Linked DNA regions of Pelodiscus sinensis. The protein of the gene in region 2 purifies or fractionates together with the protein of the main gene of each other region. This does not show direct contact. Links are inferred from orthologs where the notes say so. Each region holds a gene or a part of one and is shown on either strand. Other genes may lie near its edges. The genes, in order: DDX23, SNW1 and BCAS2.

What was found.
Region 1: the proteins of SNW1 (region 2) and DDX23 purify together in Homo sapiens (affinity purification with mass spectrometry; 3 studies listed by BioGRID and IntAct, with this or other methods). This does not show direct contact. The link is inferred for Pelodiscus sinensis from reciprocal best matches to the Homo sapiens genes SNW1 and DDX23.
Region 3: the proteins of SNW1 (region 2) and BCAS2 purify together in Homo sapiens (co-immunoprecipitation; 3 studies listed by BioGRID and IntAct, with this or other methods). This does not show direct contact. The link is inferred for Pelodiscus sinensis from reciprocal best matches to the Homo sapiens genes SNW1 and BCAS2.

Annotation. Positions count from the first base shown.
Region 1 is NC_134729.1:5,094,257-5,097,996, reverse strand, and holds the start of DDX23 (putative ATP-dependent RNA helicase DDX23), read right to left. Parts: upstream 2,698-3,740; 5' UTR 2,544-2,697; intron 377-2,543; coding exon 207-376; intron 122-206; coding exon 29-121; intron 1-28. UniProt on the Homo sapiens protein: Involved in pre-mRNA splicing and its phosphorylated form (by SRPK2) is required for spliceosomal B complex formation.
Region 2 is NC_134714.1:41,584,857-41,588,596, forward strand, and holds the start of SNW1 (SNW domain-containing protein 1), read left to right. Parts: upstream 1-1,482; 5' UTR 1,483-1,615; coding exon 1,616-1,629; intron 1,630-3,094; coding exon 3,095-3,248; intron 3,249-3,740. UniProt on the Homo sapiens protein: Involved in pre-mRNA splicing as component of the spliceosome. As a component of the minor spliceosome, involved in the splicing of U12-type introns in pre-mRNAs.
Region 3 is NC_134737.1:741,791-745,530, reverse strand, and holds the start of BCAS2 (pre-mRNA-splicing factor SPF27), read right to left. Parts: upstream 2,757-3,740; 5' UTR 2,678-2,756; coding exon 2,585-2,677; intron 1-2,584. UniProt on the Homo sapiens protein: Required for pre-mRNA splicing as component of the activated spliceosome. Component of the PRP19-CDC5L complex that forms an integral part of the spliceosome and is required for activating pre-mRNA splicing.

The DNA.
Region 1 (3,740 bases), on a different chromosome or scaffold from region 2:
TGGCAGAGGTGGGGGTGCAAGGTTTTACCTGGAGCGTTTCCTGTCCTTGTCCCGCCGGTGCCCATCTTTCTCCCTCTCGCGATCCTTCTTATTCCGCTCACGCTCTTTTTGTCTCCGCTCCCTACAAGGGTAGAGCCGGGGGATCAGTTACCAGCCTGTCAGAGCCAACCACACGGCCCCCCACCCCTAGGCCTGGAGGCTGCTACCTCTCAGCTGACTTGGAACGGGAGCGGGATCTTGATCGGCTGCCCCGCCTCCTCTCCCGAGACCTGTGTCGCTTCCTGTCACGGTCCCTGTCCAGGGAGCTCGCACGTTTCCTCTCCTCCTTGGGGGGTGACAAGTCCCGCTCCTTCTTGTCGGGCACGTCACCAGCCATCTGTGCAGGGCAGTAAGAGGCTGTTAATGGGGGTGTGGAGGGTGTGAGAGGGGAACTGAGCTTCCATTAGCTTGGCACTGCCCCCCCCCCCCAAAAAAAAATACACGGGACACATCATTAGGTGCGGGCTGGCTTGGGGAGAGCAGAGAATGAGGATCTTCCCCTCTGGGGGGCGCTGACTCCCATCCAGAATTGGCCCAAGGGCAGAGGGGAAGGGAAGAGGGTGATTCCCTATTTTGGCCTTGGTGCAGCAGGGGTGTCTGGGCAGTTCACAGGACATACACCCTTTTTAATACAGGGTTACCACAGTAAACCCATGACCCTAACCCTGGGAGAGAATCCAGGAGTCCACTTCCCCCGCAACTCCACGAAAGAACCAAGGAATAGACCCCTGCACAGACACAAAGTTCTGTACCTGCATCTGTATCTGCAAAAGTGAGCTGCGGATATCCGCATCCATTAAGGACGTAAAAGGTTACCTGTAAGCATTAGCCATACTAGCATGCTCACCAGATAACTGGTTAAACGGAGGGGGGGGGGAAGAAGCAGTCCCCCATCTGCTGTGGCCCGGCTGACAGGAACCCGTGGGCCAGAGTGGTCCCCCGCCCATGGCACGACCCCAGCTGACCGGCTGGACCAGCCCCCCCACCTGTGACGTGGCCTGACCCTAGTGGGCTGGCTGGAGCAGTCCCGCAGCACAACACAAAGCAGTCCCCAACCCGTAGCGTGACATAACCCCAGTGGGCTGGCTGAAGCAGTCCCTCGCCCACAGTGCGACCCCAAGTGGATGGCCACAGCAGTCCACAGCGTGGCGTGACCACAGCTGGCCAACTGGAGCAATTCCTCATCTACAGCACAGCGCAACCCCAGCAGGCTGGCCAGAGCAGTCCCCCACCCGCACACAGAGGGCAGAGCCCCCCCCACAGCAGGATGGCCAGACCCCAGCAATACAGTTAACCGGTTCATTGATTACAATTAAATCGTTTAACCAGTTCACTTTGTATATTTACATCCCTAGCAGCGGTATCCAAGCAGGACCTGTGGGTATAAAAGGGTCATCCACAGATGACCAGAATATATGCAGTGTTATAGATCCAACATTTGCAACCACATCCACGCAAATGAGCCGTAGATACACACATCCACATCCGCGTGTGGGGACACCCACAGATATCTGTGGATTTGCAGGGCTTTTCCCAGACTCCCTTCCGCCTCTTCCCCAACCATGCGAGAGAACCCAGCAGAGGGGGCTTCCTCCGCATCCCAGACTATTCCCTCTAAGCTGGGCGCTTGTGCGGCTGCTCAGGAGACATTCAGATGCCACCCAGATGATTAGCAGAGCGCCCCCAGCTAGGTTTTTGTTCCTACTGGTGGTGCACATTCACACATGCCTCAGGGCACGCAAAATGTATTCTGCACATGGATGGAAGGAATTAGAGGGAACATTGTCCTGACCCCACGAGACTGCCCAGAGGTCCGTGCTCTGCCCCTCCCTCCCCCGAGAACCCAGAGATCCGGGCTCTGCCCCCCCCGAGACCCCAGGGATCCGGGCTCTGCCCCCCCCCCAGAGATCCCAGGGATCCGGGCTCTGCCCCCCCCAGAGATCCCAGAGATCCGGGCTCTGCCCCCCCCGAGACCCCAGGGATCCGGGCTCTGCCCCCCCCCGAGACCCCAGGGATCCGGGCTCTGCCCCCCCCCCAGAGACCCCAGGGGTCCGGGCTCTGCCCCCCCCCCAGAGACCCCAGGGATCCGGGCTCTGCCCCCCCCCCAGAGACCCCAGAGATCCGGGCTCTGCCCCCCCCCAGAGACCCCAGGGATCCGGGCTCTGCCCCCCCCCCAGAGACCCCAGAGATCCGGGCTCTGCCCCCCCCCCCGAGACCCCAGGGCCCAGGCTCTGCCCCCCCCCCCCGAGACCCCAGGGCCCAGGCTCTGCCCCCCCCCCCCCGAGACCCCAGGGCCCAGGCTCTGCCCCCCCCCCCGAGACCCCAGGGGGCCCAGGCTCTGCCCCCCCCCCCGACACAACAGGGCCCGGGCTCCGGCTGTGGCTTGCGGGGCGCAGGGCGGCGGGTTCGAGCCCCTGCCCCCAGGAGCAGCAGGACCGGCTGCCCCGAGAGCCGGGCTCCCCTCCCCCCGAGAGCGCTCCGGGGCCCCACAGCGCCGCACTCACCCCGCGCCGCGCCTCCTACTAGGCCTCACAGCCCCTGCGCAGCAGCCGCCATCTTACGACAGGCCCCCGCGCGACACTGTCGCAACGCCGCGCGGCATGCCGGGAAAGCGAGGCCGGCTTGGGCGGCCGGCGGCGACCGCGTCCGCAGCGCAGCAACTACCGCTCCCAGCAGGCACCGCGCGGCTCGCCGCCGGCATCCTAGGGAAGGTCGCTCCCGGCGCTGAGTCCGAAACAGCGCCCCCTGCTGCCCCAGCGCGCCCTGCCACCGCCCCCCCCAACTGCTGGCAGCAGCCTGCCCTGCTGCACCAGCACCAATCCCATCACTGCCCTTCCTCCTCCCCCCATTCCTGCCTGTACCCCCACCCTCATTATCACTGGCCCTGGCCTCACTGCTGCTTCTTTCTCCCTCTCCCCCCCCCCCCAACACCGCCCTCTGGCCTCACCGCCCCTGCTCCAGTTCCTCCTGTGCACCCAGCCCTGCCCCCACCCATCCAGCCTCTGTGCATTGGGTTCCCATGCAGCTGGGCTCCGCAGAAGACACCAAGCCTGCTCCTCCTCTCCCCACCAGCAGCACGGCCCCTGGGGACGCTCCTCAACCCGGCAGCCAGAGCCAGGGTAGACTCCTCCACTTCATTCACCAGGATCTCACTAGCTTAACACCCAGGGCTTCCAGCTCTCTTGAGCCAGCTGGTTCTGCAGCCCAACATTTCCAAGGGAGAGTGTCAGCCCACGGGGCTATTGGCCCGCTGTGAGCCGGTGGCTCAGAATCTCCAGGACAGGGAGCCCTCTGGGGCCAGTCTGAAGAGCCCCCCTCGTCCCCCCAATATGTTAGAACCACTGCAGTCACAGCTTCAGGGGCAATGGGAGACTTCCTGGGGCTGGCCCGGCCAAGCTCATGGCCCCACTGATTGCTGTGAAGAAGGGGCTGGGCTGAAGAGGGGGCAGGGGAGGAGAGAGAAGGACAGCTGTAACCAAACCACCTCCCTCCCGACTGTCTGCCACAGCAGAAGGAGCTGCTGTGAGTTACAGGGCCAGGCTGGCCCTAGACACCAACCCCACTGCCTGGACCAGAACCCCATAGTCACTGTGGCCTGAAGGGTCCTTATACTGTGATCACATCCCCTTGCCTCTCTCTGCACCCTAGCAGAGTTGAGTTCCACCAGTCTCAGGAGAGAGCCCTGCTGTCCTGGCAGGGAT
Region 2 (3,740 bases):
CTCCAGCACTCCAACACTCTGCTCCAGCCTGGATCCCCCTACTGTACCCAACTTCCCTCCCTCCCAAAAAGAATCTTATATAACAGCTGTTCTCAGGTAAAAAGTAGGATATTTTGAATTAACTATAGTCTATATGTTTAATGACTGAAATGTAACAACAATGTGATGTTGCATCCCCATATTTTTATTAAAATGTGGTTTTGAAAATTAATAAGCTTTATGCAAAATGGAGCCTGTAACATATCACTGGAAAGCTTGTAATCCCTTGAGTATGTATATTCTATTTGTGTGAATGCATCAGGCCTATATTTGAAATTATAATATGAAGTATACACCAGTTTATTGATCTAGGTGTGCTAGTGAAAGACATTAATAGTACTAAGGAACTTAATGGCCCAGTGTTCAAGACAATACTCTGTGAATAGTCTCATTTTTGCATGTTTCATTTTGCATTTTGTATGATGCTTAGCTGGCATGTTATGTTTTATTTAGCTTAGTAACTACTTTGATCTGGCTATCATCACTTGCAATCACTTAAATGTTGCTATTTATATTTAATAAAAATCTCTTTTATTATTAAACCCTGTGTAAATAACTGTTACCTAGGAGTAACAACAGCTGTGCATCTCTTATTGAAAAAGGGGGCACACATCTTATGAGTTCACGCTACATAAACTTTATGCATAGTGAGATGGATTTATTTTGGGTGTTAGTCCCATTGGGGCCATGCACCTGGGATCTGTGTCAAGTCCCTGTGACTGAGCCTTTCCAAGGCTGAGAGACTCTCAGTGTTTGTGTTGCTCTTCTGTGGGCTGTGACCCCAACTCTGTACCTTTGCTGGGGAAGACCAGAGAGCCTGGCTCAGCAAGATAGAGTGTTGGGTGCACCCCAGAGGGCAGATAATGATATGATCAGCCCATCAGGGGGCAACCTCCAGGGAATCTTTGTGACCTGGGCCAACCCTCACACACAGATTCACTTTGTTAATTAAAAGGCAAGTATAGTATTAATAGTCTCAGTACCATAATTGTCATTTGTTTTAATCTGGAAAAAAGACTCATATCCAAGGCCCCCTCAAACTCTAATAGCCCTGGGCCTACAGTCAGACACCTTTGGAACAGATTGTAGGGTTGCCATGTGTCCGGTTTTGAACAGGACAGTCTAGTATTTGAGCTTTCTGTTTGGGAAACAAATTGAGAAAATATAAATGAGAAAACATAAATGTCCAGTATTTTCTAAATAAGATGTAATGTAGATTGTGATGTGATGTCAAGTGTCTCCACTATTTTTGTTGAAACCGTCTGGCAACCTTAGATCGGTGCTAGCCCAGCCGAGCAAAGACACCACGGTCTTAAAGAGATTACAACTCGCACAATGCCTATCTCTTGCGCATGTGCTTTAGAAACGTGTATGCCTCCTCCAGTCTAGGGTAGGCTTGTGAACGAAGACTACAAGTCCCAGAAGATGTTTCGGCAATAGCTCTGCGGAGTGTAGCGTATGGTCTTCGCGCTGAGGAAAGCTGAGAGACTACAACTCCCAGCATGCTTTTGATATCTGCGCCTGCGCGTTTGCTATCCCCTTCGTGCGGCTAGGGTCCCCGAGCGAGACGAGGAAGATGGCGCTCACCAGGTTGGTGGGGCTCAGGGCCGCAGTGCTTCCGTCCTGGTCCTATTCCAACGTCCCTTGTACCCCGCGCTCTTCGGGGCCCGAAGAGCCTCTTCCGGGTGCGAGGGGGCTGTTGGCCCTGCCAAGGGACAAGCCAGGCTGGCGCCGTGTAGGCCTCTCCGAGCCGGGGCCTTTCCCCAGCTCCCAGCCGCGGACTTATCTCCCAGGGGGCCAGGCCCGTAGAGACAGGCCGGGGCGTGGGGACCGGACACCTCCCACCGGCCTGCACTGGGCTGGGGGAGGGTAGGAGCTGCCTGCGCCAAGGGCGGCCCTGGAGGAGACCGTGTGCACCCAGGGTCGGGGGCTCGGCGGCCACCCCGGGCCTATGCCACGGGCCCGTGCTAGGGGTCTGGGGAGGGAGCTAGTTACGGACAGGAACCTCCCTCCAGAATCGCAGCGAGTTGTTTGCCGCTGACAGGGTTAATGCCCCCTCCGCACACCCCGTGTGGGGGTAGCGGATCCCCAGTGATTCCTTCTCCGAGGTGCTACACAGCCACTCCTCCGTGGTCACCGGCGCATAGGGAGCCTGGGGTCTGATACAGCGGCGTCCAGGGCATGCTTATGCATGGGGTTTACACATATGTGTTGGGCTTGGGCAGACACCTGCGGACTCTGTTGTTAGGTCCTATTGTGTGTACGGCTCTGTCTACGTCCTAGGGCAGTCTACTGAGAGAAGTTGAGAGGTCAGTGTCATTCTCTGTTTAGGTTAAGGGACATGTCTTTTTGTGTGTACTCCAATATATAAACCTTTTGGCAGCCAAACGTTTCCTTAAGGAAATGCAAAGGGGGCAGCCTGGTTCTGAAATGGGAGTGCAGAGCAAACTAAAAAGTGGGAAGTTAAGATTTTAGCTCAGTCCTTTGTTCTTGACCAATGGGGACAAGAGATGTTCTGGAGAATGTGTAGTCATCCCCAGAGAAAGGAACATCTTGTATTGCTTGGGTACCAAACCTTGGTCAGAATGAGTTGTATCACTGTGTCTGTGGGCATTTATGTGAGGAGTCATTAAGAACTGGAGGATATTTTCTTTTTCACTTTGACAGAATGATAGAAAACATACTTATGTAGAATGCGGTTATGTTTTGTAAGATTCCTACAGCTCTGTTGCTAAAGAAAAAACAGAGGTGGCTCCTTCTGTTCAATCAGGGGTGGGAAATATGCACTGCACTGGGACTGGGGGATAAAGAAAGGAGAAAGAGAAGAGTGAAGCTGCCTTCAACATTTCAACTCAGAGACAGCTGTGGCCCAGTTAAAAGTCCTGCACTCAATTAAGTGTTATAAATTGTTTCTGATTCAACACAGATTTGTGGCAAAGATGAACAGTTCCTTGGAATACTCTAATCAAAGAATGAAATATTGCACTTGATCTCATTTGTGTTGAGTGGGTGAGACTGTCTCAAAGTTAATATCCTTCTCTTTTTGTCTGTTCAGTTTTTTACCAGCCCCAACTCAGCTGTCTCAGGACCAGCTAGAATTAGAAGAAAGAGCAAGATCTCAGAGATCAAGACAGACTGCACTGGTATCATCGCGCAGGGAACCTCCCCCTTATGGTTATCGAAAAGGATGGATACCACGAATGCTAGAGGTAAATATTTGACTTCATACTCTGGTGATAGCTCTCATTTATTTTGGGGGAATTTTTTAAAAGATTAAATCCAAGCATTTGAACATAGCACAGAAAATTGTATAGTGCCCCACCATATCAGAAATTGACTGGTTATGTCCATCAATCCAGGTAGAAATATTCTGGGTTTGTTTTTGTTTTATAGTATTACTACTTACTAGAGAAACCTTCTAACTATATTGTACATAACCTTCCCTGTGGAGAATATTATGAAGTGAAACAAGTAGTCCTTGCAGATGCCTTCTGAATACATGTCTATTTTCATTTTCCTGATTTGTTAAATATACAGTCCAGATGAAAGTTCTCCGTGCATGGTTACAGTTGGACAGCTAAAAAAAAGTTGAATTAGAGAATAATCTCATAGTTATGTTTTCATAGATATCAGCTTATTTTATTTTCTTGTGTTTGTAGTAACATTGGCATTTGTCAGACATTCAGTGTTATATGTGATTG
Region 3 (3,740 bases), on a different chromosome or scaffold from region 2:
CGGGGACAGCCCCCCCCCCGACACACACACACACACACACACGGGGACAGCCCCCCCCCCGACACACACACACACACACACACGGGGACAGCCCCCCCCCCGACACACACACACACACACACACGGGGACAGCCCCCCCCGACACACACACACACACACGGGGACAGCCCCCCCCGACACACACACACACACACACGGGGACAGCCCCCCCCGACACACACACACACACACACACGGGGACAGCCCCCCCCCCGACACACACACACACACACACACGGGGACAGCCCCCCCCCCGACACACACACACACACACACACACACGGGGACAGCCCCCCCCCCGACACACACACACACACACACACACACGGGGACAGCCCCCCCCCGACACACACACACACACACACACACACGGGGACAGCCCCCCCCCGACACACACACACACACGGGGACAGCCCCCCCCCGACACACACACACACACACACACACACACACACACACACACACACACGGGAACAGCCCCCCCCCGACACACACACACACACACACGGGGACAGCCCCCCCCCCGACACACACACACACACACACGGGGACAGCCCCCCCCCGACACACACACACACACACACGGGGACAGCCCCCCCCCCGACACACACACACACACACACACACACACGGGGACAGCCCCCCCCGACACACACACACACACACACACGGGGACAGCCCCCCCCGACACACACACACACACACACACGGGGACAGCCCCCCCCCGACACACACACACACACACACACACACGGGGACAGCCTCCCCCCCGACACACACACACACGGGGACAGCCCCCCCCCGACACACACACACACACACACGGGGACAGCCCCCCCCGACACACACACACACACACACGGGGACAGCCCCCCCCGACACACACACACACACAGGGACAGCCCCCCCCCGACACACACACACACACAGGGACAGCCCCCCCCCGACACACACACACACACACACACGGGGACAGCCCCCCCCGACACACACACACACACACACACGGGGACAGCCCCCCCCCGACACACACACACACACACACACGGGGACAGCCCCCCCCCGACACACACACACACACACACACGGGGACAGCCCCCCCCCGACACACACACACACACACACGGGGACAGCCCCCCCCGACACACACACACACACACACACGGGGACAGCCCCCCCCCGACACACACACACACACACACACACACACACACGGGGACAGCCCCCCCCCGACACACACACACACACGGGGACAGCCCCCCCCCGACACACACACACACACACACACACACGGGGACAGCCCCCCCCCGACACACACACACACACACACACACACACACACGGGGACAGCCCCCCCCCGACACACACACACACACACACGGGGACAGCCCCCCCCGACACACACACACACACACACGGGGACAGCCCCCCCCGACACACACACACACACACACGGGGACAGCCCCCCCCGACACACACACACACACACGGGGACAGCCCCCCCGACACACACACACACACACACGGGGACAGCCCCCCCCCGACACACACACACACACACACACACACACACGGGGACAGCCCCCCCGACACACACACACACACACACACACACGGGGACAGCCCCCACCCCGACACACACACACACACACACGGGGACAGGCCCCCCCCGACACACACACACACACACACACGGGGACAGCCCCCCCCGACACACACACACACACACGGGGACAGCCCCCCCCCGACACACACACACACACACGGGGACAGCCCCCCCCGACACACACACACACACACACACGGGGACAGCCCCCCCCGACACACACACACACACACACACGGGGACAGCCCCCCCCCGACACACACACACACACACACACACGGGGACAGCCCCCCCCGACACACACACACACACACACACGGGGACAGCCCCCCCCCGACACACACACACACACACACGGGGACAGCCCCCCCCCGACACACACACACACACACACACACACGGGGACAGCCCCCCCCGACACACACACACACACACACACACGGGGACAGCCCCCCCCGACACACACACACACACACACACACGGGGACAGCCCCCCCCGACACACACACACACACACACACACACACGGGGACAGCCCCCCCCGACACACACACACACACACACACACACACGGGGACAGCCCCCCCCCGACACACACACACACACACGGGGACAGCCCCCCCCGACACACACACACACGGGGACAGCCCCCCCCGACACACACACACACACACGGGGACAGCCCCCCCCGACACACACACACACACACACACACGGGGACAGCCCCCCCCCGACACACACACACACACACACACACACGGGGACAGCCCCCCCCCCGACACACACACACACACACGGGGACAGCCCCCCCCCGACACACACACACACACACACACGGGGACAGCCCCCCCCCGACACACACACACACACACACGGGGACAGCCCCCCCCGACACACACACACACGACCCGGCCCAGCGCTCTCTCCCCCCCCACTCACCGCCTCCCGCACGCCCGGCGCCTCGTAGCCTTGGTCGAAGTAGGGCAGCGCGTCCACCGCCACCTCGCCGGCCACCAGCCCCGGGCCCGACATGGCAGCAGTGAGAGCGACCGCGCGCTCCGCTCCGCTGCGCCTGCGCCGTGACCCCGACGCCCCTGCCCTCAGCGCGCCTGCGCCCCGGTCCGCTTGCCTTTTGTGCGCAGGCGCAGAGACCCGCGCGCTATGGCTGCGTAGGGTGCACGCGCCACCTGGATCCCCCTCAGCCCGCCCCTCCCCGCCCATTGGCCCTGGCGCGCGGCGTCTCCTTAGAGACCGGGGGGATGGGCCCTGCGCCCCTCCCTGGCTTGGCCTGAGCGTGCGGCGGGGGCTGCAGCCGGAGCCGTTAACCGCCAGCTCCGCTTCGTCCCAGCGCGCGGGGCCGGTCCCGCCCGAGGCAGAGCGGGGGGCGCCAAGCCCGCGTCAGCCCCCCCCCCCCCCCCCCCCGGGTTCGGGGTCCCGCGCCCCGCCGCTCCCGGGAGACGTTGAGGGGCCTGCGCCCCCTTCAGCCAGAGCGCGGGGCAGGGGCTGGGCGGCCGCTCCGGGCGGGACCTCCTGGGCCAGAGCAGCCATGGGCTCAGGAATCAGGGCCTCGTGCGCCGGAGCCATGCGCCGCCCGCTCCTGGAGAAGCCCGGCTGCCCCAGGGGGCACAGGCACCAGGAGTATCTTACACAAGAAAGCCCAGGGGCTGAAATGGCCATCAGAGCGTTCTTGCACAAGAGAGCGTCTGCACTGGCGTGGACACCTCGTGCACCACGGCACAGGCACCTGCAAACACTCTTACGCAAATACTTGAACACAAAAACTCTTAAAAGTATTTACGCAAAATCATACCCCTGTAGACATGGACAAACTGCTATTGGGAATATAAGCCCCTTCCAAGTGTTGTTCTATACAAGGAACTGAGCTCCACTGGGGACTTTTCAAACTCATGTATGAATTCTGTATGTCAACACTGTATACAACTAGTACGTGCTACGTTAGGTTGGAGCACTAAGAAGACTTTTCATTTCACTACAGCAGTCATTGTCATTACACAGGATTCAGTCAGAGTCCATCAGTGCCACGTAAACAACTGTTTATGAGAAAGTGCTATCAGAAACCAGCCTCCAGCTGCAC